Saccharomyces cerevisiae S288C: one gene and its partners. Changing the gene in region 2 together with the main gene of any one other region gives a genetic interaction. Each region holds a gene or a part of one and is shown on either strand. Other genes may lie near its edges. The genes, in order: DFP1, SPO24, FPR2 and DIA1.

The links.
Region 1: mutations in SPO24 (region 2) and DFP1 together harm fitness more than expected from each alone (negative genetic interaction), as found in Saccharomyces cerevisiae (one large-scale study listed by BioGRID).
Region 3: mutations in SPO24 (region 2) and FPR2 together harm fitness more than expected from each alone (negative genetic interaction), as found in Saccharomyces cerevisiae (one large-scale study listed by BioGRID).
Region 4: mutations in SPO24 (region 2) and DIA1 together harm fitness less than expected from each alone (positive genetic interaction), as found in Saccharomyces cerevisiae (one large-scale study listed by BioGRID).

Annotation. Positions count from the first base shown.
Region 1 is NC_001133.9:177,572-183,033, reverse strand, and holds DFP1 (DUP240 family protein), read left to right. Parts: upstream 1-3,213; coding exon 3,214-3,753; downstream 3,754-5,462.
Region 2 is NC_001148.4:644,101-646,886, forward strand, and holds SPO24 (Spo24p), read left to right. Parts: upstream 1-1,849; coding exon 1,850-2,053; downstream 2,054-2,786. Other genes in the region: VMA13 (H(+)-transporting V1 sector ATPase subunit H), read left to right, coding at 1-1,172; ERV2 (flavin-linked sulfhydryl oxidase), read right to left, coding at 2,348-2,786; IRC16 (Irc16p), read left to right, coding at 2,736-2,786. UniProt on the Saccharomyces cerevisiae protein: Required for efficient sporulation.
Region 3 is NC_001136.10:1,477,192-1,482,895, reverse strand, and holds FPR2 (peptidylprolyl isomerase family protein FPR2), read right to left. Parts: upstream 2,472-5,704; coding exon 2,064-2,471; downstream 1-2,063. Other genes in the region: URC2 (Urc2p), read left to right, coding at 1-1,811; protein disulfide isomerase EUG1, read right to left, coding at 2,735-4,288; GRH1 (Grh1p), read right to left, coding at 4,539-5,657. UniProt on the Saccharomyces cerevisiae protein: PPIases accelerate the folding of proteins. It catalyzes the cis-trans isomerization of proline imidic peptide bonds in oligopeptides. FKBP-13 may play a role in protein trafficking in the ER.
Region 4 is NC_001145.3:901,617-907,760, forward strand, and holds DIA1 (Dia1p), read left to right. Parts: upstream 1-3,208; coding exon 3,209-4,219; downstream 4,220-6,144. Other genes in the region: PRE5 (proteasome core particle subunit alpha 6), read left to right, coding at 93-797; YMR315W (uncharacterized protein), read left to right, coding at 1,184-2,233; YMR315W-A (uncharacterized protein), read left to right, coding at 2,670-2,777; YMR316C-A (uncharacterized protein), read right to left, coding at 4,046-4,357; YMR317W (uncharacterized protein), read left to right, coding at 5,748-6,144. UniProt on the Saccharomyces cerevisiae protein: Involved in regulation of invasive growth.

The DNA of each region.
Region 1 (5,462 bases), on a different chromosome or scaffold from region 2:
TAATGGTTTACAGTTGTGATGCAACGCAATCCTTTTTCTTATAATTGGTTTACATATTTTATCACTGAAAATAATGTTGTATTACGGGCTCGAGTAATACCGGAGTGTCTTGACAATCCTAATATAAACAGTCTTAGGGAAGTAACCAGTTGTCAAAACAGTTTATCAGATTAATTCACGGAATGTTACTTATCTTATATATTATATAAAATATGAATCATACTAAGTGGTGGAAGCGCGGAATCTCGGATCTAAACTAATTGTTCAGGCATTTATACTTTGGGTAGTTCAGCTAGGGAAGGTCGGGTTTTGTCTCATGTTGTTCGTTTTGTTATAAGGTTGTTTCATATGTGTTTTATGAACGTTCAGGGTGACGTATTGTCATACTGACATATCTCATTTTGAGATACAACAAATAACATACAATTTTGGCAACTTGGCCGAGTGGTTAAGGCGAAAGATTAGAAATCTTTTGGGCTTTGCCCGCGCAGGTTCGAGTCCTGCAGTTGTCGTTATTTTTTTTTACTGATGATATTTCACCTCTTCAAAGCATACTCATCTTCAACTCGGATTCAACACGAGAAAGAATTATTTAAATCGGTACAAAGCAATACACTATTCAAAATCCTATCGTTTCCCAATTGTGTTGTGCGCGCGTTATTCTGCGATTCCGTGTAAGTGCATAGAGTAGGTTGTTGCAATAAAAAATGTCTCTAAATAGCAGGCCGACAGACATAACCAAATGATTTCCGTGAACAACCTCAAATTTTCAGGCTTTGAACGTGATTTTCCCAAACCCTGTAACTTGATGTGTAAATTTAAAATGGAATTGGCATGCCAGCTATCATCCCTTAGTGCTTTCAGTCCGAGAGTCTCCATATGTCTGACTTCACGACCTAATTGAACCGGCGCCCATTTCTGGGACATCAGCACTTGCGGTGCTGTTCCAAATAATATCTAAGGTAAGTTTAATGGCCCAGCCCGATCGTGAACGTTAAAGAAAGCATACGTCAAAATATTGGTACCTTATAAGAGTAAAAAAATGCTGTTTCATCTCGTTTGGTAGAGTATATATAAAAAGAGCGGTTTCTGAATTGTTGAAATTTGAACTGTTCAAGATTTACTTAGTAGTATGAACCTGCAGGGATCATCCAGAAACAAAATGCTGTAGCTTCTTCTCTGAATTGTATTTCTTTACAAAGAGCTTTGCTATTTTGCCTTGAAACAGCATATCTCATGGCGAGCGCTTCCATAGCGCTTGAAGCAGACCAAAGCAACATGCTGGAAGACCAGATTCCTAGACTATTCATGTACATCTCTACATAGTATGATCGACTTCGGGATTTTTTATTCCTTACTACGTGGTTTTTACGATGGCATGATCAAATTCTGTGAAGCTGTTTTGTCTGTCAGTGGGATCGTGCATTGTACTCAGTTAGAAGTGCGTTTGGAGCTTTGTAACATGGCACAAGTGAAGTGAAAGACGCCCTTTATAGAAAGGAGAGTTAGCTAATGTAGAAGTACAGCTGGTGATAAGAAAACGCTGATGCAGAATCAGGAAAGTGTTCTCGTTGTATTTTCCAAGTCTACTTGATTTTACAGTTAACGTAATATTCTTTATTATGTAGTGGTAAGAAATACTCAAACCGTAGGAAGCGGACTTGAGTTTGTTTTTATCTTCAGAGTATATGCATCCACGAAACACACCCTCATTGGTATAATGTTGGTACTTTCATTCCTACGTAGATTATGAAGTATAGGAGGAAAAAGAAAAAATAATGGTTGCTAAGAGATTCGAACTCTTGCATCTTACGATACCTGAGTATTCCCACAGTTCACTGCGGTCAAGATATTTCTTGAATCAGGCGCCTTAGACCGCTCGGCCAAACAACCACTTATTTGTGATATTTGGGTCACAATGTTTTAACTATTTGGACACTGACTTGTTATTAGCTGATCGCTAATTCAAACACATGGTTATATAAAGCATTCTTTCTGAAGAGACACCCAAAAAATAAGTACAGCATGGAAGTAATTATCATGCGTGTACGTGTTCTACTACATATTTTGCTATTCGGCATTGTAATGGGAAGTGATTCATAGGTGGCTGCCCCATTTTCAACGAGGGTAAAGTTTATAACTTTTTGTCTGGTCGTCCTCTTAGCTATACAACATCGTTATTGTTTAGGTATTATCCAACAATTAGGACACAGGCGTGAATAGTTTTATTAACAAATATAAAGTTAGCAATCGGCCAGTAAAAGTTTTAACGCAGGGACATCTCAGTAAATAAGTCATGCCTATGGTCCTCATCTAAATTTCGAAAAGAGACTGTGTTACGTATTATTCGCGAAGAACAATGATGATATATATCTGGCGATTTTACGGCCATTATCAGCGGTAAAACACCCAAGGTGTTGACTAAGTGATGGAGTCTGCGGTGGACAAGTGTTACTTTTGCTATACTACTAATCCAGCATTCCGTGATCATAGTTTAAATGCGCTGGCGTATTGGGAGCTCTTTGATACAACGAGAAGTCAGACATCAGCTCGCCGAAGCGTCCTAACAGTAACTAACTAACAATAAGCCTTAATGTAGTCCTCTTCCATATTCAATCTACTCTATATTCCGCTGGAGACCTGCTCACTCAATAGATCAGAAACACTCTTATATCCAAAAATACACAGGTACGAAAAATCTCGATCGAGAAATTCAAGGAAATAGAATAATCCTACACACATAACATTAAAAAAAAAATCCCTACGACAGAACTTCCCAGTCTGCTTTTGATTTACTTTTAATAAATACAGATGTTTTTTCAGTACCTTTCATGTTCCCATCCTTGTTACGATATATACTTTCATCTGGGGGCGCTAAAGAAAGCGAAAAGCTATGTACGTACAGTTGAAAAAAAGGAAAATACCAATTGAGGTTTGAAATGTTCGACACATTCAAGTCTATTTTTCCTAAGCTATCAGGATAAGGTTTACTTGACTTGTAAGCAAAAGCAAGTTAAATCGTTTGTTAAACATGCAATCTTATTTAAAAAAAACACTCATGTCACGGACGATCCTAAAGCAATCCCATTGAGGGAAGGATCTCCTGACAACCCTGAAAGTCCTTTAATCTCAGCTGATATCGTCCTTCCAGAGGATGAGTTTGCATCATACCAGAGTTATTTGCTTTACGAAATTGTACGCGCCAAGTATATAATGATCAATTTCCTCCTTTTTGTCTTGACGATTTTGGCGACTTTAACAAACATTTGGTTTTCTGGTGTTCTCTCCCCTGCCATGGTGATCCGGATATGTTTAGGTGGCTCTATGGTAGTCCTTCAGATATGGTCATTCAGTAGACCAATAAGTAATGAAACATTCCGTACAAAACTTCTACTAGAGGTAATAACTCATAGACCATCGATAGCTGGGAAAGAATGGAAAACCATAACGTATAACATGAATCAATATTTGTTCAAGGCTGGCTTATGGAAAACACCATACCACTTTTTTTGTGAACACCAGTGCTATGAATTTTTCAAGGATCTCATAAAGGGAAAATATCCTGATGTACAGTGGGATACAGCGAATACACAGCCGTTCATCAGTGTTCCAGAAAATCAGGCTGCAACTCAAAATTCTGATGTTGAACCAACCGTAAAGTGGTGCCTCTTTAAAGCAGCCGAAATTCAAGCCCATGCTGTGCGGGAATATTGGCAAAGTCAATATCCAGATGTGGGCATACCTGCAATATGAGTAGAGTTTACGTATCTAATATATTGGTATAAAAAGAACGCATCTTTTTTTTTTTGGGCTGTTCTGGGCTCCAGGAAGTCATAAATTGTGGGTACGCTTTAGATGTGTTTGCAATATTTGCAACTGCTCTCCCAAAAAAAATTAGCATTGCAAGATATTGAATAACTGGGTCGTCCCGAAGCAACAGTGGGGAAATAGTTTACGAGTTTTGTTCAAGTTAAAAGCATTTTTTGTTGTGAAGAGAATAAACTTGATTTCGAAGGAGATCAAATTCGAAATAATCTGCGAATTTATTATGATCGACTAGGCAACGAAGACGCAGTTTTCTATTAAATCTGTGCGTTTGAGTAACTTAACTGACTATAATATCGCAATCTTAACATCATTAAACAATGTAAAAGAGGTCATACGCTATAAGAAGTTGATTTGATCCCCCGTGGATTTTGAAAAATGTCAAGATCAGCATATTGACCCATGTTTTTCCGCTCAATCCAGTCTATCAATCATTTTTCAACAAGGATAACCATAACATTCACCCACCATGCTTTGGTTCATAAGATATACGGGGAGATCAGCAACTCTTCAACTTATTGAACATGTTGAGAGCAGGATTAAATAATCAATGTCCTGTGATTGCAACATCTATCATGCCTGACGTTTCTCGAACGATACAATCTACAATTTAATGAGCCATTTTAGCATATTAACGAGGGCTGCATGAGGATCGAATGGACAAAAGTGTTTTCAGGCATGGGAGAATGGGATGCTTATAGAGGAGTTTAACCATGAAATTAAATGATTCTCCAGCAAGAAAAAAAAAACTCCTGACTCAGTTCATGTGGCGGGAAATTTCTCTCATTGTCTCCCCCTGCAGCGCTACTAATCTTAAAGGTAGTGGTGGCTTCGACATTATATCGTTGGTTCAGGTTGTCCGATCACTAATGATCTGTTACTTTATTGCTATGTTATGTGTCAAAAGGTGATATCCCCATTTTTACTGATCGCAGTAATATTTTAACCTGCCATGGTTAAATTGTTTATTGTCATTGAGTTGAGCACTTTTTCATTGCACTGTAGTTGTTGCGTATTTCAGACTTACTCTTATAGTGACGCTAACAGGAGGTCTGGCTCTTAATACAAGGACGTCGTAATATTCTGTTCACCGGACTCGAAAGCAAGAAGGAAAAAAGCACATTGTAGCCTTTTCAAAAACCTATCTTTTGGTACTAATTTATGGCGGCCCATACAGAGAGCTACCCTAAGAAATAGTTCGCATTCGTATATGAACTTCGGCTTTGAATATTGCGGATTCGTGCACAATACAAGACTTCTGTCGTTCCATGTCATCTATTGCGCGATTATTTTTTCACCAATTCCTTTCATTTCTAGTGGTTTCAAGGCGCAAGATTAATCTTAGATTTTACCTCCATCAAAAGCTCGGTAATTGGCACGTCATTTTACTATATGGCCTCAACAACATCGCTATACAGATTTGGGCGCCCTACTTAGCGAGACTTCCTACATTTGGAAATTACCCTAAAGGCATATTCTCTTCATGTAATAGCTCGCACAATGTAACCCGATTCAATTGATGCCCCAGTCGTCATTTATGTACAAGCATATCTACGCTGGCTCTGAGACTTGTGTTGTCCAAACAAGAACCCCCATCATATCTAGCGTGAGTATCAAATGGTTGGCAATAGTTTGTG
Region 2 (2,786 bases):
ACGAAGACTGCAAAAAATCTGTGCAGAACCTAATAGCTGAATTGTTATCGTCTGACAAGTATGGAGACGATACCGTGAAGTTTTTCCAAGAAGACCCCAAGCAATTGGAACAATTATTTGATGTGTCACTCAAGGGAGACTTCCAGACTGTGCTAATCTCTGGGTTCAACGTGGTCTCACTCTTAGTGCAAAATGGGTTGCACAATGTGAAACTAGTGGAAAAGCTGTTGAAAAACAACAACTTGATCAATATCTTGCAAAACATTGAGCAGATGGACACTTGTTACGTGTGCATCAGACTATTGCAAGAACTGGCCGTGATACCAGAGTATCGTGACGTGATATGGTTGCATGAGAAGAAGTTCATGCCCACCTTATTCAAGATCCTGCAACGTGCCACGGACTCTCAATTGGCCACGCGGATAGTTGCAACAAACTCCAACCACCTGGGTATTCAATTGCAGTACCACTCTTTACTATTGATATGGTTGCTGACCTTTAACCCAGTTTTTGCAAACGAGCTAGTCCAGAAATACTTGAGTGATTTCTTGGACCTCTTGAAATTGGTTAAGATAACCATAAAGGAGAAAGTGTCCAGATTGTGCATATCCATCATCCTGCAATGTTGCTCCACGCGCGTCAAGCAGCACAAGAAGGTGATTAAGCAACTTTTGTTGCTCGGCAACGCGTTGCCCACCGTACAGAGCTTGAGCGAAAGAAAGTATTCCGACGAAGAATTGCGTCAAGACATCAGCAACCTCAAGGAAATCCTAGAAAACGAGTACCAAGAATTGACCTCCTTCGATGAATACGTCGCCGAATTGGACTCCAAGTTGCTGTGCTGGTCTCCACCACATGTCGACAACGGTTTCTGGTCCGATAACATTGACGAGTTCAAGAAGGACAACTACAAGATCTTTAGACAATTGATCGAACTCTTGCAAGCAAAGGTCCGTAACGGCGACGTCAACGCGAAACAAGAAAAGATCATTATCCAAGTCGCCTTGAACGACATCACTCACGTGGTCGAGCTTCTACCAGAGAGCATCGACGTTCTCGACAAGACTGGCGGCAAAGCCGACATCATGGAGTTGCTGAACCATTCAGATTCTAGGGTGAAATACGAGGCCCTCAAGGCCACGCAGGCAATCATTGGATATACCTTCAAATAAAGATATAGAAGACCGTAAAGTAGTAGTGGGTTTGAAGCCTAAATAAGTAGTTTTGTACGTACTATTATTTTAAGAGAAGAACATCCATAGAAAAGAAAAGAAGAAAAAGAAACGAACCAGAAGAGGGTAGCAGAATCAGTCATTCACGCACCCGGCCTGCGCTGCGTGCACCGACTGCGTGCGTGCGTGATTGGTAATGCAGTGAATCATGCTTTTTCATGACGCCTCCTCCCCGCCCCTGAGCCTTCGGTGGCCGCCGAAGTCGGGTATTAATGGGCGCCCCTTTCCTGGTGTCCGGGAACCGCCTGCCGAAAACCACCCTCCGCAGGTCCGCGGAAGGTGGGTGTGGCTGTCCCCGCGCAAATCCGAGATCGATTCCGCGGCGGGTCGGTCATTCTTTTCATTTGCGCGCTAATATGCGCTGTGACTGGCGGTTAGTCATCTGCGTGATCAATCGTTGTCATGACGCTCTATAACGTAAGAGAACTTTAGAGGGGGCTCAATTAGCATGAAGAACAGACACATATATAAGGTCTCTAGATTTCTCCAATAGCTCAACTCTCACAATTGTTTCCTCTAGTCCTTGTAAAATATAAAAAATCATCATCAAACAAGCAACTACAAAACAGCTTTACTGACAACTCACACAAATAACACAAAAAACAAAAATTTCAACAATGGTCGCCTTTTTAGAACTAACTTCTGACGTTTCTCAACCTTTTGTCATCCCATCTCTTTCGCCAGTCTCTCAGCCAAGCTCAAGAAAGAACTCTGACGCAAACGTCGATGACCTGAATCTGGCTATTGCCAATGCCGCTCTTTTGGATGCCTCTGCTTCAAGCCGCTCACACTCCAGAAAAAACTCTTTGTCTCTGTTGTAAGTGTTGTACACGAGAATTAGCACACTATTAGCATAAAAGACACTTGGCATCTTTACTTACTTGGGCAAGTAAGTCACGTACTTTTTTTTTTTTTTCCGGAGCATTCATTGTCATTCTATCTGCACTTTCCCGCACTTACATTCAATAACCTCGGATCGGGTCTCTTCTACGACAGAAACTTTTTGATATATACATATTTATGTAATATAAATACTGAGAAAGTAAAAAAATTTAAAATATAAAATAATAAAAAATTTACTATTACTATAATTGATTAATGTAATCTTTCTTTGTTCAACCGTGCTGTTTAGCCTCCTTCTCGAGAGACACGCGTTTACCGTCGCTGTCACTACATCCACAATCGTAGTCCTCCAGGATGGTAGCACAGTCATATATGTCTTTCTTTAGGTATTCGTTCACCTTGTTGTGAATGTGGCATCCCCACATTGCGGCAGCCGTCCTGCTAGATGTCTGTACGGGATACTTCTCAATCAACTTTACAAAGTGATATGAACATTCCCCGCATGGATAGAGTTCTGCATACAACCCAATAAACGTGTGCAGTTTCTCTCTTTCTTCAGGAGTAGGCTCGTCCGGAAAACGGGCCAGCAGGGTATGGAAGTACTTCCACGACGCCCTGCCCACTTCCTTCTTCACCTTGTCATCGCCCATCAATGGCATAATGGTTTGCTTCTCGATCTCTTTCAACCGAGCGTCGTTCTTCTCAGCAGCC
Region 3 (5,704 bases), on a different chromosome or scaffold from region 2:
AAGAGCACATAAAATCTTTACACCAGAAAATGGACTTGATAATCACCACAGCAAAGATGTCTTATAACAGCGATATCAAAGGCCCTGGAGATGATATTCAGAACGTGGATTTCAGCTCAAATAAGACGTACGATAGTCGTCTAACTTCGGGCTCAGAGACGATAAGGAAAACAGGGGAATATAGAAAAGAAAATCTTTTCTTAAATGGATTTAAGTTGAAGGAATCTCCTTTAAAATTGCTACATGATATTGATGAGAGGCTATTTCCATCGAAGGCTACATCTAAAGCTGCGAAGCTAGCTGGACAGCAAAGGCCATATGCTGTTGCAAGAGTGAACTTTCTCCATTTTTATGAGAATAATCAGGAATTATGCCATAAGCTTGCAAAAGAATTTCTGGTGAGATCCCATTTCTGGATAATTCCAGGTGGGAGAAAAGAGATAGACGTGGAATATGCCCACTCACACCTATTTATTACAAGTGTTTTTACTATTATCGCTATGAGTTTTGCTGACAACGATAAATACGCTGCAGAACAAGAAATATTGTATCCTTTAGTGGAGAGATTACTCACTAATACGTTAACCATGTTTGAAAAGTTAACAGCGTTTGATATTGAGGCTATTTTATATTGCTGTATGTTCCATATTTCGCGAAAGGCAAAGAGATATAGGCAACTGAAGTTTAATTCTCTGGTACTAAGCAATTTTGCGCTCAATAGCTTGTTACATGTAATAGATTTTTATCAGATAAAGGATAGGGTTTTGGTAAAAGAAGTGTATAATCCCGAAGATCTTTATCATCTAAGAATACTAAATTCACTAACTGCCTGCTATTTAGAATATTCCATTAGTTACGGCGATATTAGGGAACAGGATGATATGCTTAAAGAGTTTAATAAACTTGTGGCGAAATTTCCTCAGGCGAATTTTGGTGATGACATTAAAATCAGTGAGATAAATTTAGGTGACATCGTAAATGGCATCTTTATAAACCTTAAAAATTATTTTGCGCAGTGTTTGGATGACTTTAACAATGACAGATATGGAGGTAACGCAGATACTTTTATCTTTGTTTTTCCAGAGCTAAATTATTGGCTGAAAAATTGGGAAGAGCTTTTAGCAAAGGATGGCGCGGGCGTGCTATTGTTCACATTTGATTTTTATCATATCATGATATGTCGCACTTTTATCACAGAATTTTCTTCCACGCTAAAAAGCAACCAAAGGTTTTTGAAACTAATTCTTAATACGATGAAAGAACATTCATTTTCGCTGTTGAATGGGTTTTTGAGACTACCGCCAACGTTAATAAGGGGTGCTCCGATTTTTACTTGTCATCAACTAGTCTACGCCTGTTTAACTCTTTGTGACTATCTTTATTGGTTCGATTCTTCTGAACGTCAACGCGTTTTGAGTCTTTGTACAAAAGTGTACTGGCATTTGAGCACTATAGGGGAAAAAATGAATGAGGCTACTGATAACGTTGGAAAAATCATAAAATCTATAATTGATACTAGTAAGACTCGTATTAATTTTGGCAGTTTGTCAAAAGAGAATAGTGATAATGATAAAATGTCGACTAATGCTAATAACTACACAGGAGCAGGAAATCTGCACGCCGCGAAACCCGCTACTTCGCCTACTAATGTTGGTACTTTGCACGAGAACTTGTCCAGTAGTCACTTCATGATTCCTGACGTCGACCAATTCAATTCCTTTGAAGACTTTTTTCAGGATTTTTTTGATAGTTTAAAACCAAATTCCCAAAAAATGTTTACCAGCGATAAGAAGACTGAACAAACTACTTAAACTATTTTTATTAAGAGGGAAAAAATTCATACCCAAACTAGATTGAATAACATTTCTTTATATTAATATATTGTAGTTAGAGCCCTTTTATTTTATTTTGCTGCAAACATAATATACACAACCATAATTACATTGAAACTTGACATGATGGCTGGCATCCTCATATGGATATATTTTCAACTATAAAAAAAAGTTTGCCACATACGTACTCCATGCATCTTGTTGCAGATATGTGCCTGAGTGCCAATTTACCTAGGCGGCTGATTTCACGTCTACCAATTCGACATCAAACACCAAATCAGCACTTGGAGGAATGACGCCTGGGACACCTCTTTCTCCGTAGGCCAAAGAACTTGGAATTTGCAGCTTTCTTTTTTCGCCAACGCACATGCCGGCAACACCTTGATCCCAACCTTTAATTACTCTGCCAACGCCAAGTTCAAAAGCGATAGGAGAGCCTCTTGAATAACTTGAGTCAAATACAGTTCCCGATTCTAATAAAGATCCTGTATAATGAACCTTAACTTTATCACCTGGCATTGCCTTAATTAAGCAATCTTCTACCGGTATTCTCTTGATAATACCGATTTCCAAATCTGACAGGGAACCTGCAAGAATGGTGGAAAAAAAAGTGACGAAAAGGTAAATATTAAACATCATCGAGACTCAATTACTGTAAACTAGAATGTGATTGAAAACGAAAGCACTCCTTTTTCTCTTCTTAGGGTTATAGTAATGGGTCTCATATAAACCTGTATTTGAAGATGCGCTGGCAGTAATGCTAAATCTCTTCAAGAGCATAAACGGGTAACTGGTGAGAATAATCGTGATGCCATAAATAACGAATATTAGCTATTTTCTTCCAGAAACGATGCGAGTAATCAGATGTTAAAAATGTGCATTATATATGCTTTATTTATTGATTATAATTCATCATGTACGGTATCTTCAGTAGACACTTCAGAATCCTTGGCCTGGTGCAATTTATCATAAATTGCCTGGCCGTCAATGTGATGTGTACCTGATTCCTTGATAAATTCGAAAACATCTTCCAAATTTCTAATTTTATTGAAGATAATAGGCTTAGAGTTATTTCCGGCAGGATACAAAGCAATGGTTGGATATCCTGTCACAGGAAAACTTAAGATATCATTTGCCCCTGAATCTACTTCGGCGATCAAGATTTTATCGCGAACAGATTCATCAGATGCTAAGACATTTGCAATTTCTTCGTAAATAGGCGCAAACCTTTTACTATGAATACACCATGTCGCGTAATATTTGACAAGGACATCCTTGTCATCATCATGAACAATGTCGTCATGTGTCTTCCCAACTATTTTATAAACATTGGACTTTTGTTCTTTTGGAATCTCTTCTGACTTAACAATTGGCTTGGCAGTACCTTCACGGTAATCTTTTACCAACTGAACGATCATATCTCTGTCTAGTGGTTGTGGTTTTTCTAATTTCGCGTACTCTTCTTCTGGTAGTTGTGGTAAACCATATTTCAGATTATTGATCATATTATGGATAGCAAATAATGGGAACTGTTCTCTCATATTTAGGAATCTAACGTGGTGTGGGAACATTGTAGAGTTTAATGCAATGAAATTTATTTGGCCACGATTTTCCTTACCTAACTGCGTGAAAAGATCAGTGTAATCTTCCAATTCTTCCTCAGAAGTATAAAAGAAGTAAGCCAACGGCAAATTGCTAGAAATGTACTTGGGGAAGAGATCAGGTTCGATGTCGGTAAAGTAAGGTAAAATTACCACTTTTAACCACTGAGTTAGAGCAACGGAATTTCCGACCAAAGAGTCTACATTTCCATCAAACAGAATTGGTTCTGTAGTGTTTGGCAAGTGGATTGATAATGACTTATCTTCTGAATCTAGAAGGGATAAAAAGACGTAATCCTCAGCAAGGTCCAGTGCGACTTCTTGATACGTTTCATTCAAGCCTGTCAAGCCTCTGTTTATTACTACTGGTAAAGTTGCATTTTCCAAGTATGGTTGGATTTCATCTTCGGAATTTAAATAAATGACAGAAGCCTCGTATAGCTGAATCATGTACTGAGTGATTTCATCGGTGATCTTGACACCGCGATAGACTTGACCATCAAAAATACGACCATTTTTAAAGATTTTCAAGGTTGGGTAGGTATTTATAGTTTGTTGCAGGCAAACCATACTGTTAGCCTCACAATCAATTTGAACAACTGGGACGTTATGCTCCTTTAAAATAGAGGCGGCCTCTTCTAAGTGAGGGCGTAAGATCTGAGAATGCAAACACCATGGAGCAAAAAACTCGACGAGGACTAACGGATGAGATTCGATGAATGATTTAAATTTCTTCTCTGTTAGAACGAGTAAATCTGATCCCGGCGTAGCTCTTGCGCTGTTTTCAGCCAACGTGAAAGAAGCAAACAGGCAAAACGAGACTATCGCAGATATAAATCTTGTGGTCACTTGCATGGTATTATATGAGCGGGTGCTTGTTGGGAGATTGCCATATAATTGAAACGTCAAGTCTTGGAAATTGAAACTTTCTGAATGCTAAAATATCTATTGTCTTAACAAAAAAGGACACGCGTGCCTTTGAAAAAAAGTCTCGGTACTTTTCGTACATTGCCAACTATCGTTTACGTGTTTTGAAGGGAAAGCAAGCTTATATATATATATTTAATTTTGCTATGAAACAAAACCAAAAGACTAACCAGGAAAGTTAATCAGAGGATGACTGTTTTTGTGGTGGTGGGGCGAGGATGTCAGATTCTGCTGACTTCGCAGCGGTAGATGACTTATCTCTGCCTTCATTAAAATAGTCATCCATTGCCAATGGCTGGGTACCCTTTTTATTTTTTGATTTCTTCTTTGTTGGCACCGGTGGTGCTGTGAATGCTGATGGCACAAAAGCCGTCTCAGATTCTACTGGAACAGGAACAGGAACAGGGTTGTCATCTTGCCCCTGCTGCTGTGCTTGTTGTGGACAGTGCTTTACTGTTGGAATCCTGTGAAGAAACCCGTATCCAACGTTGCAACCCAACCTGCCGTCGGGACCTATATGAACTGTGATTGGTCTCACACAGTCAGAAACTTTGTTGTAGACATAAAGGACCAGATCGTAGTTTGCTCTTGATCTAACAATATCTTGTAAAAGCGTCTCCCCTCCCGTGGCCAACAGGCCATCTTGGCAGCCGATAATGTAGTCTTCATCTGGGATGAGCCCTGCCGATTGGGCGGGTCCATCTGGGATGTTCACGTTCAGGATATGGTATGTGAAAGTGGAAGCTATCAAAGGCGTCCATTGGACTTTGAACCCGAGTGCTTGGAACTGGTGCGCTTCCCCACTAGATGGCCTCCTCTCGTCATGGTTTAGAGAAACATCGTCCAAATCGTCGCTCTCCTTCGATATAATGCTGATATACTCGTCTCTGAACGTGCCTCCTTTAGCTGACCATATGTTGACCTTCAAAGTTCGGCCACAGTGTTCATTGAAGATGGATGTGATACGACGGTAATCTGGGTACGAAAATCCGTGTTGATTACTGACCACCGGCACCGGATCATCATTGAAACCTACTATATAGTCGAAAAAGGACTGCAGTTGGAACTGCATCTCGTCCACCCAAACAATGCGGAGACCGGAAAGCGTTTCATTGACGTTGGTGTGCTTAACACCTTCAGAAACCGCATCTACGGGTGATTCCAACTGAGCAGACAACAAATTTGGTGGTATAGACTGAAAGAAAGCGTCCAGATTGCTCGAGTCCTGCGAGAGTGCCAGGGTATCTTGCACGCTCTGCTCAAAAGTCCGTACGAGGTTTTTAGCTATTCTAAACATAGTTCTTCTTCCTATACCTTTTTACTTCCCTAGTTTCGCACGCTGTG
Region 4 (6,144 bases), on a different chromosome or scaffold from region 2:
GCCACTACATTTAGGTAGACGTGGTGATCAATTGAAGTTCAAGAGAAGTGGGTAAGAATACATTGAACTAAGCCTTCATATATTTACAAAACATGTTCAGGAACAATTACGACGGGGACACAGTCACTTTTTCTCCTACAGGCCGTCTGTTCCAAGTGGAATACGCCTTGGAAGCTATTAAACAAGGGAGCGTCACTGTGGGGTTACGTTCGAACACTCATGCTGTTTTAGTAGCGTTGAAAAGAAATGCAGACGAATTGTCATCATACCAGAAAAAAATCATCAAATGTGACGAGCACATGGGGCTCTCGTTAGCCGGGTTGGCTCCAGATGCTAGAGTTTTAAGTAATTATTTGAGACAACAGTGTAATTACTCCAGCTTAGTTTTTAACAGAAAGCTTGCCGTCGAGAGAGCAGGTCATTTGCTTTGCGATAAAGCACAGAAAAATACACAATCCTATGGGGGCAGACCCTACGGTGTTGGTTTGTTGATCATCGGGTATGACAAGAGCGGTGCTCATCTTTTAGAATTCCAACCTTCCGGAAATGTCACAGAACTATATGGTACAGCTATTGGCGCAAGAAGCCAAGGGGCAAAGACTTATCTAGAGAGAACTTTAGACACGTTTATAAAAATTGACGGGAACCCGGATGAACTAATCAAAGCTGGCGTCGAGGCTATCAGCCAGTCTCTAAGGGACGAATCCTTGACTGTAGACAATCTTTCAATCGCCATCGTGGGTAAGGATACGCCTTTTACAATTTACGATGGAGAAGCTGTTGCTAAATACATCTAGGTCTGGACACAAAGTATCGTTTCCACTAAGCAATTGTCAAAGCAAGACCAAAGAAGCCTTTCACCACGGTCGGGGTTTTTTTACATATAAAGATAATAATAGATTAACTTAGTACGTAGTCTCACTTCTCATTCAAAATTAAAAAAGACGTGGCTTCCAAATCAACTAATAACCCCGCTTAATTCCGCCCTCCGCCGGGGAATAAACGGAGTTATCCCCTGTTGAAAATTCAGCATGATTATGTATCACAATACATAGGTGTTCGTCTATAAAAAGAACTACTTATTCTGGATAAACTTTCGAACTCGCTCAAACCTATTTGTTTCTGTACATCGAATAGACCCATAATCACTTCTTGGTTCCAAAAAGTAAAGTAATAGCCAAAAATGTCCCCATTGAACGTCGGTATAGTTGGTACAGGTATTTTTGCCAGAGATAGACATCTCCCATCCTACCAGGAATTTCCTGACAAATTCAAAGTCATTGCCGCCTTCAACAGACATAAGGCAAAAGCTTTGGATTTTGCAAAGGTTGCTGACATACCTGAAAATAAGGTTTACGACAATCTAGATGAAATTTTGAATGACCCTCATGTCGACTACATTGACGCTTTGCTACCTGCTCAATTTAATGCTGATATTGTCGAGAAGGCAGTTAAAGCAGGTAAGCCAGTTATTTTGGAAAAACCAATTGCGGCCAACTTAGACCAAGCAAAGGAGATTGTCAAGATAGCAGAATCCACCCCATTGCCCGTTGGTGTGGCTGAAAATTGGTTATATTTACCATGTATTAAAATCGCAAAGGAGCAGATCGAGAAAATTGGTCCTGTAGTAGCATTCACCCACAATTCTACCGGTCCATTTGTTACTCAAAATAAATATTTGACCACAACCTGGAGACAAAAACCAGAGCACATTGGCGGATTTCTATCTGATGGTGGTGTCCACCAATTAGCTCTCGTTATTTCCCTACTCGGTGAATTTGGATCTGTTTCTGCATTAACGAGACAGGTGCGTGAACGTTCCGGTGCAGATGATATTGTCTTTGCTACTGTCCAGTTGAAAAATAAAGAGGTTATCGGAAGTTTTACTTATGGGTCTGCCTTTGGTGCTACCGAAAAGTCGGTTTTCTTGAAAGTCTATGGTAAGAATGGTACCGTTACCGTTGACTTATCAGACAAAAAAGACCCCGTTGTAAAAGTCAAATTAGGGGGTTCAGCTGAAGATAACGGTGACGAACAAATTTTTAAAGTCGATAATGATGAAAGTTTCGGCGTCAACGCTGAATTTTTGAATTTTCACGAAGCTGTCAGCAAGAAGGACAAATCCTTATACCTAGGCACACCCAGAACTGCATTTCACCATTTGGCTTGTGTGGACGCGTTTTTAAAATCTTCTGCCAAGAATGGTGACTACGTTAAAATTGAGCAGCCATGATTACCGTTTTACGATGTAACGCTTTTTTAACCTTAATAGATAGATTCCCTCATATATTTATAACTATGTACCCACATAAGTATACTTTTGGAATGATAATACTAACGAGATAAAAAACCGTTGAAAAATTTCTAAGTTTTCTTGAACTAAAAATAGCCAAAATTCTCCATCCACTTGTTGTTGCAAAATGTTACGAAGGCGAGGTTCTTGGAAATCTGGATGATTATGGGAAAATTCGTTCAACAAGAACGCCGAGCCTGGACGAAATACTTAGTCGGCATGGAACTAGTTATGAATGACTTTTCCTATATAAGATCTACAACCGTTTCCAATTCACCATGAGATATATATATGTTTAACGAATCAGGTACTCGTCCGAAGCATTTCGAGTAATGCAACCCCACAAGTGTCCCCCAAGAATTCACTGGGATTTTTGATGACCGAAAGAAAGCTATTGCAGCTGCTACGGCGTCCTTTCATCTCCCTTTCTTTATTCACGGCCTTAAGAGCTTGTCCGCTTCGCCCCAAAAGCCTAATTGCTTAGAGCATGAGAGTTGAAAACGACCAGAAGTGTCGTTTTAGGTAAGCATTCGGCCATAATGAACAGTAAGTTTGTCCGAAAAATACACCGCTAGGGTTCGATAACGAAGAGCGCATATCAATTGCGTTGTCGACTTAATTGCTCTCTTAGTACAACGGTATGTGTCAGTGATAAAATCCTACCGGTTCCACTTTTTGTGAGCGATAGATGACGGAACGTATGCGCCTATTTCTTTTTTTTGGCGCAGCAAGGGACAATGGTCCCTTTTTGAGAAAATGTTGTAGGCTTGGCCATCGGCGTGAACGCATATAAAAAGAAGACTGCCAACATGACAGTATTTGAAACAACTACAGATTTGGCAAAGTTCGCCAAGATAAAGAAGACCGAAGCAGGTGCTAAGCTTCCATTAAAAGTTTTTCAAGAAAAATCTGATTATGGGTTCAATAAGTAGATACCTTCTTAAGAAAGCAGCAGATGGGCTTAAAGATGAGCAGAGATTGAAGATTGAAATGTCCGATAGCAAAAGTGTCCCAGAGTGCTTTCATTTTAATAGGGAAAGAAGAATGCCCATAGCCGAGATAAACGGCGAGGATGGGTTTTTCATGTTTCCGTCTCAGCAATCGCTTGAAAATTTTGAAAACACTAAAAAGTATTCGAATGAGCTGAGTCCAGATGCAATTGGTATTCCATTATTCCAAATTATCAATTGCACTCTACCGTTTGGTAAAAGAGGTCATAGCAATACTGTGGTCGGCAATGTCCCATATTATAAAATTTTCAAATTTATTTTAAGAACGGCAGACGAACCTCCGCCTTATACTGTGGCAAAAATCGTTTGCTCAAACAACGGATTAATATTGTATAAAGTGCCTCTTTACGACATATATAAAAATGTCAGCCAAGCAAACGTAACTTACAGCTTCGTAGGGACTACGTCTACGGAGCCCAACTTACTAGCAATGGCTCACCGAGAAGGACACAGGGATTTGGACACTAAAGTGAATAATTTAAATCTCAGGTGGCATGTCACTTATTCGCCCGTAGTTACCAACGATCATTATAAATTAATTCTGTTAGCAGATTATGAAGTGAATCGTTTGGATGAAGATGTCATTAGAGCCGCTAAAAATAAGATGTCCATCGACCAAAAGGATCAAAAAGTTCAGAGGTTCGTGGCAGCTCATTATACTAGAGAATTTGAAACATCTCTTTTTAGGTGGGTCGCTCAAGAGGGCCACTTAATTCTTGGCGAGTATTCCACAGATCAAGGATCATTTGGATTGAATAATATCCCACCATTGACGGAAGAACTCGGGTGTCAGAGCCTGCTCATACATTACATAGAGTACATGAAGAGACAACGTAAAAAAATTGCGAAAGAGGCAAGGAGACAAAATAAAAGAAACGTTGCAAACACGACTAACATGAACATGAACCTCATGTAACAAAAGTTTGCGTATAATAAACCAGTATAGATGTGTAACTGTAATTTTTAACTTATCACAAGCTCGTTCCCTTCCTGCGTTGAAAAAGCGGGACAATGCCAGAATATAAAAAAAAGAAGAAACTTTAAACCCTGTCATATCTTGTCCGAGATCTCGTCGTTCTTGTTTAATTGATCTTCTTCGTATACTGCCAAAGGTGCCAAGGCACAAAAAAGTTTAAAGTGGCACGGGCTATTGCGTCACATAAAGCCCGTAGCGCAAAAAAGTGATAGCTGACTTCATTAGATCACCAAAATGGAAAAAACTTCGTGAAGATTTCTTTTTATCTTCCTCACAGTTTTTAACTTCCGGGTGTTATACTCTCCGTTTGAAAAGTTGATTTTGTTAACTTTCCTCTTTCCTTTTGGAGTAAAAACAATATCCTCGATAGGCAAGACCTTCCTGCACCGCTATGGCGGCCATTTTGATTTTTCTTTACTGTGGGAAGCAAGAACTTGTTCAGGCGCCTTCCTGGATAAGCCATCTTTTTTCAAACAGTTTCTTCTATACGATAGGAAAGTCGTTGGCCAATCGATTAATTAATTGAACAATAGGAGCCAAATAAGCAGGATATCTTCTTTCGTATACCGCCTGCCTCATTATTCAGAACAAACACGAGTGATCTGACACTATGAAGTTAGCAGTAATCCTTTCTAAGAGAGGTGGCCCAAAATTCGAATAAAATTAACTTTCCTTACCATTTAGCCTCTATCAAAAAGGTTCTAAAAAGTAATATCACACAGCCGAGCCTAGGACGTCACCTCTTTCCTACACAGTTGACATTACTTATGTACTCAAAAGGACGTATGTACCAAGGAAAGCATAGTTTTTATTCAAATCGAGTTTTTTATTCTTATATCCTGCTTAAAAGTGGTGATTAATGAGGAAAAAATGACAGCAAGAATGAAATAGTATGTAATTTCTTTAGATTTAGCGGTGCCCGTGCCTTCCACGCGCAACTGTTCTCTCTAATTTACTATTCGCTTTGAACGTAAAATGTGCTTTAGTTTCCCAGATGTAGCTCAAGTATTATACCATCTTTTGCACCTACTTTACTAAATTCATCTCAGGTATAATTGTATCGCATATTCTATTTTTTTTGACATTTAATGCAAAATTGTGTACCTTTCGTTAAGGCGAATTTTCTGGACCATGCGCAGATCTGATCCAAAATAAACTTTTTTTCATGAAGCTCGTTTGCGATCATTGCCTGTGAATTTAGCGAAGGTGTCAGTCCACGGCGACTTAGAACTCACGTAAAAATAAGCATCTTGCTAAGACTGTTCAGCAGTCAACAGTAAAGTTCTGAAAACATGTTTTCTTAGTCTCTATCTTTGCCCATGTTCCTCTCAAGTGGAACAAAGCTAAAAATGAAATATTAATTTTATATAAAGTCTCACTCACACCTGTGGTAATTTTGTTCCCTCAGATTTGTCAATGATTCTGTCATAGAAAAGGTATCCACAAGAAAGGGTAGCGCCGTATCAAAATGGGTTCATCTGGTTCAAAATCGACCACAGCCACTACCACATCGCATAGTAGCACGACTACTACTAGTAGCACAACCAGTACAACTACGCCTACTACCACTAGCACGACAAGCACGACAAGCACTAAAGTTACAACTAGCCCAGAAATTATTGTCAGTAGTTCTAGCACATTAGTTTCTTCTGTTGTACCCGAGTTTACTTCTAGCTCGTCGCTCTCCTCTGATACAATTGCCTCAATTCTATCATCGGAGTCATTGGTTTCCATTTTTTCTTCTCTTTCTTACACATCATCCGATATTTCTAGTACATCAGTCAACGATGTCGAATCATCAACCTCTGGCCCCTCAAACTCATACAGTGCGCTTTCCTCCACAAATGCACAACTGTCCAGCTCCA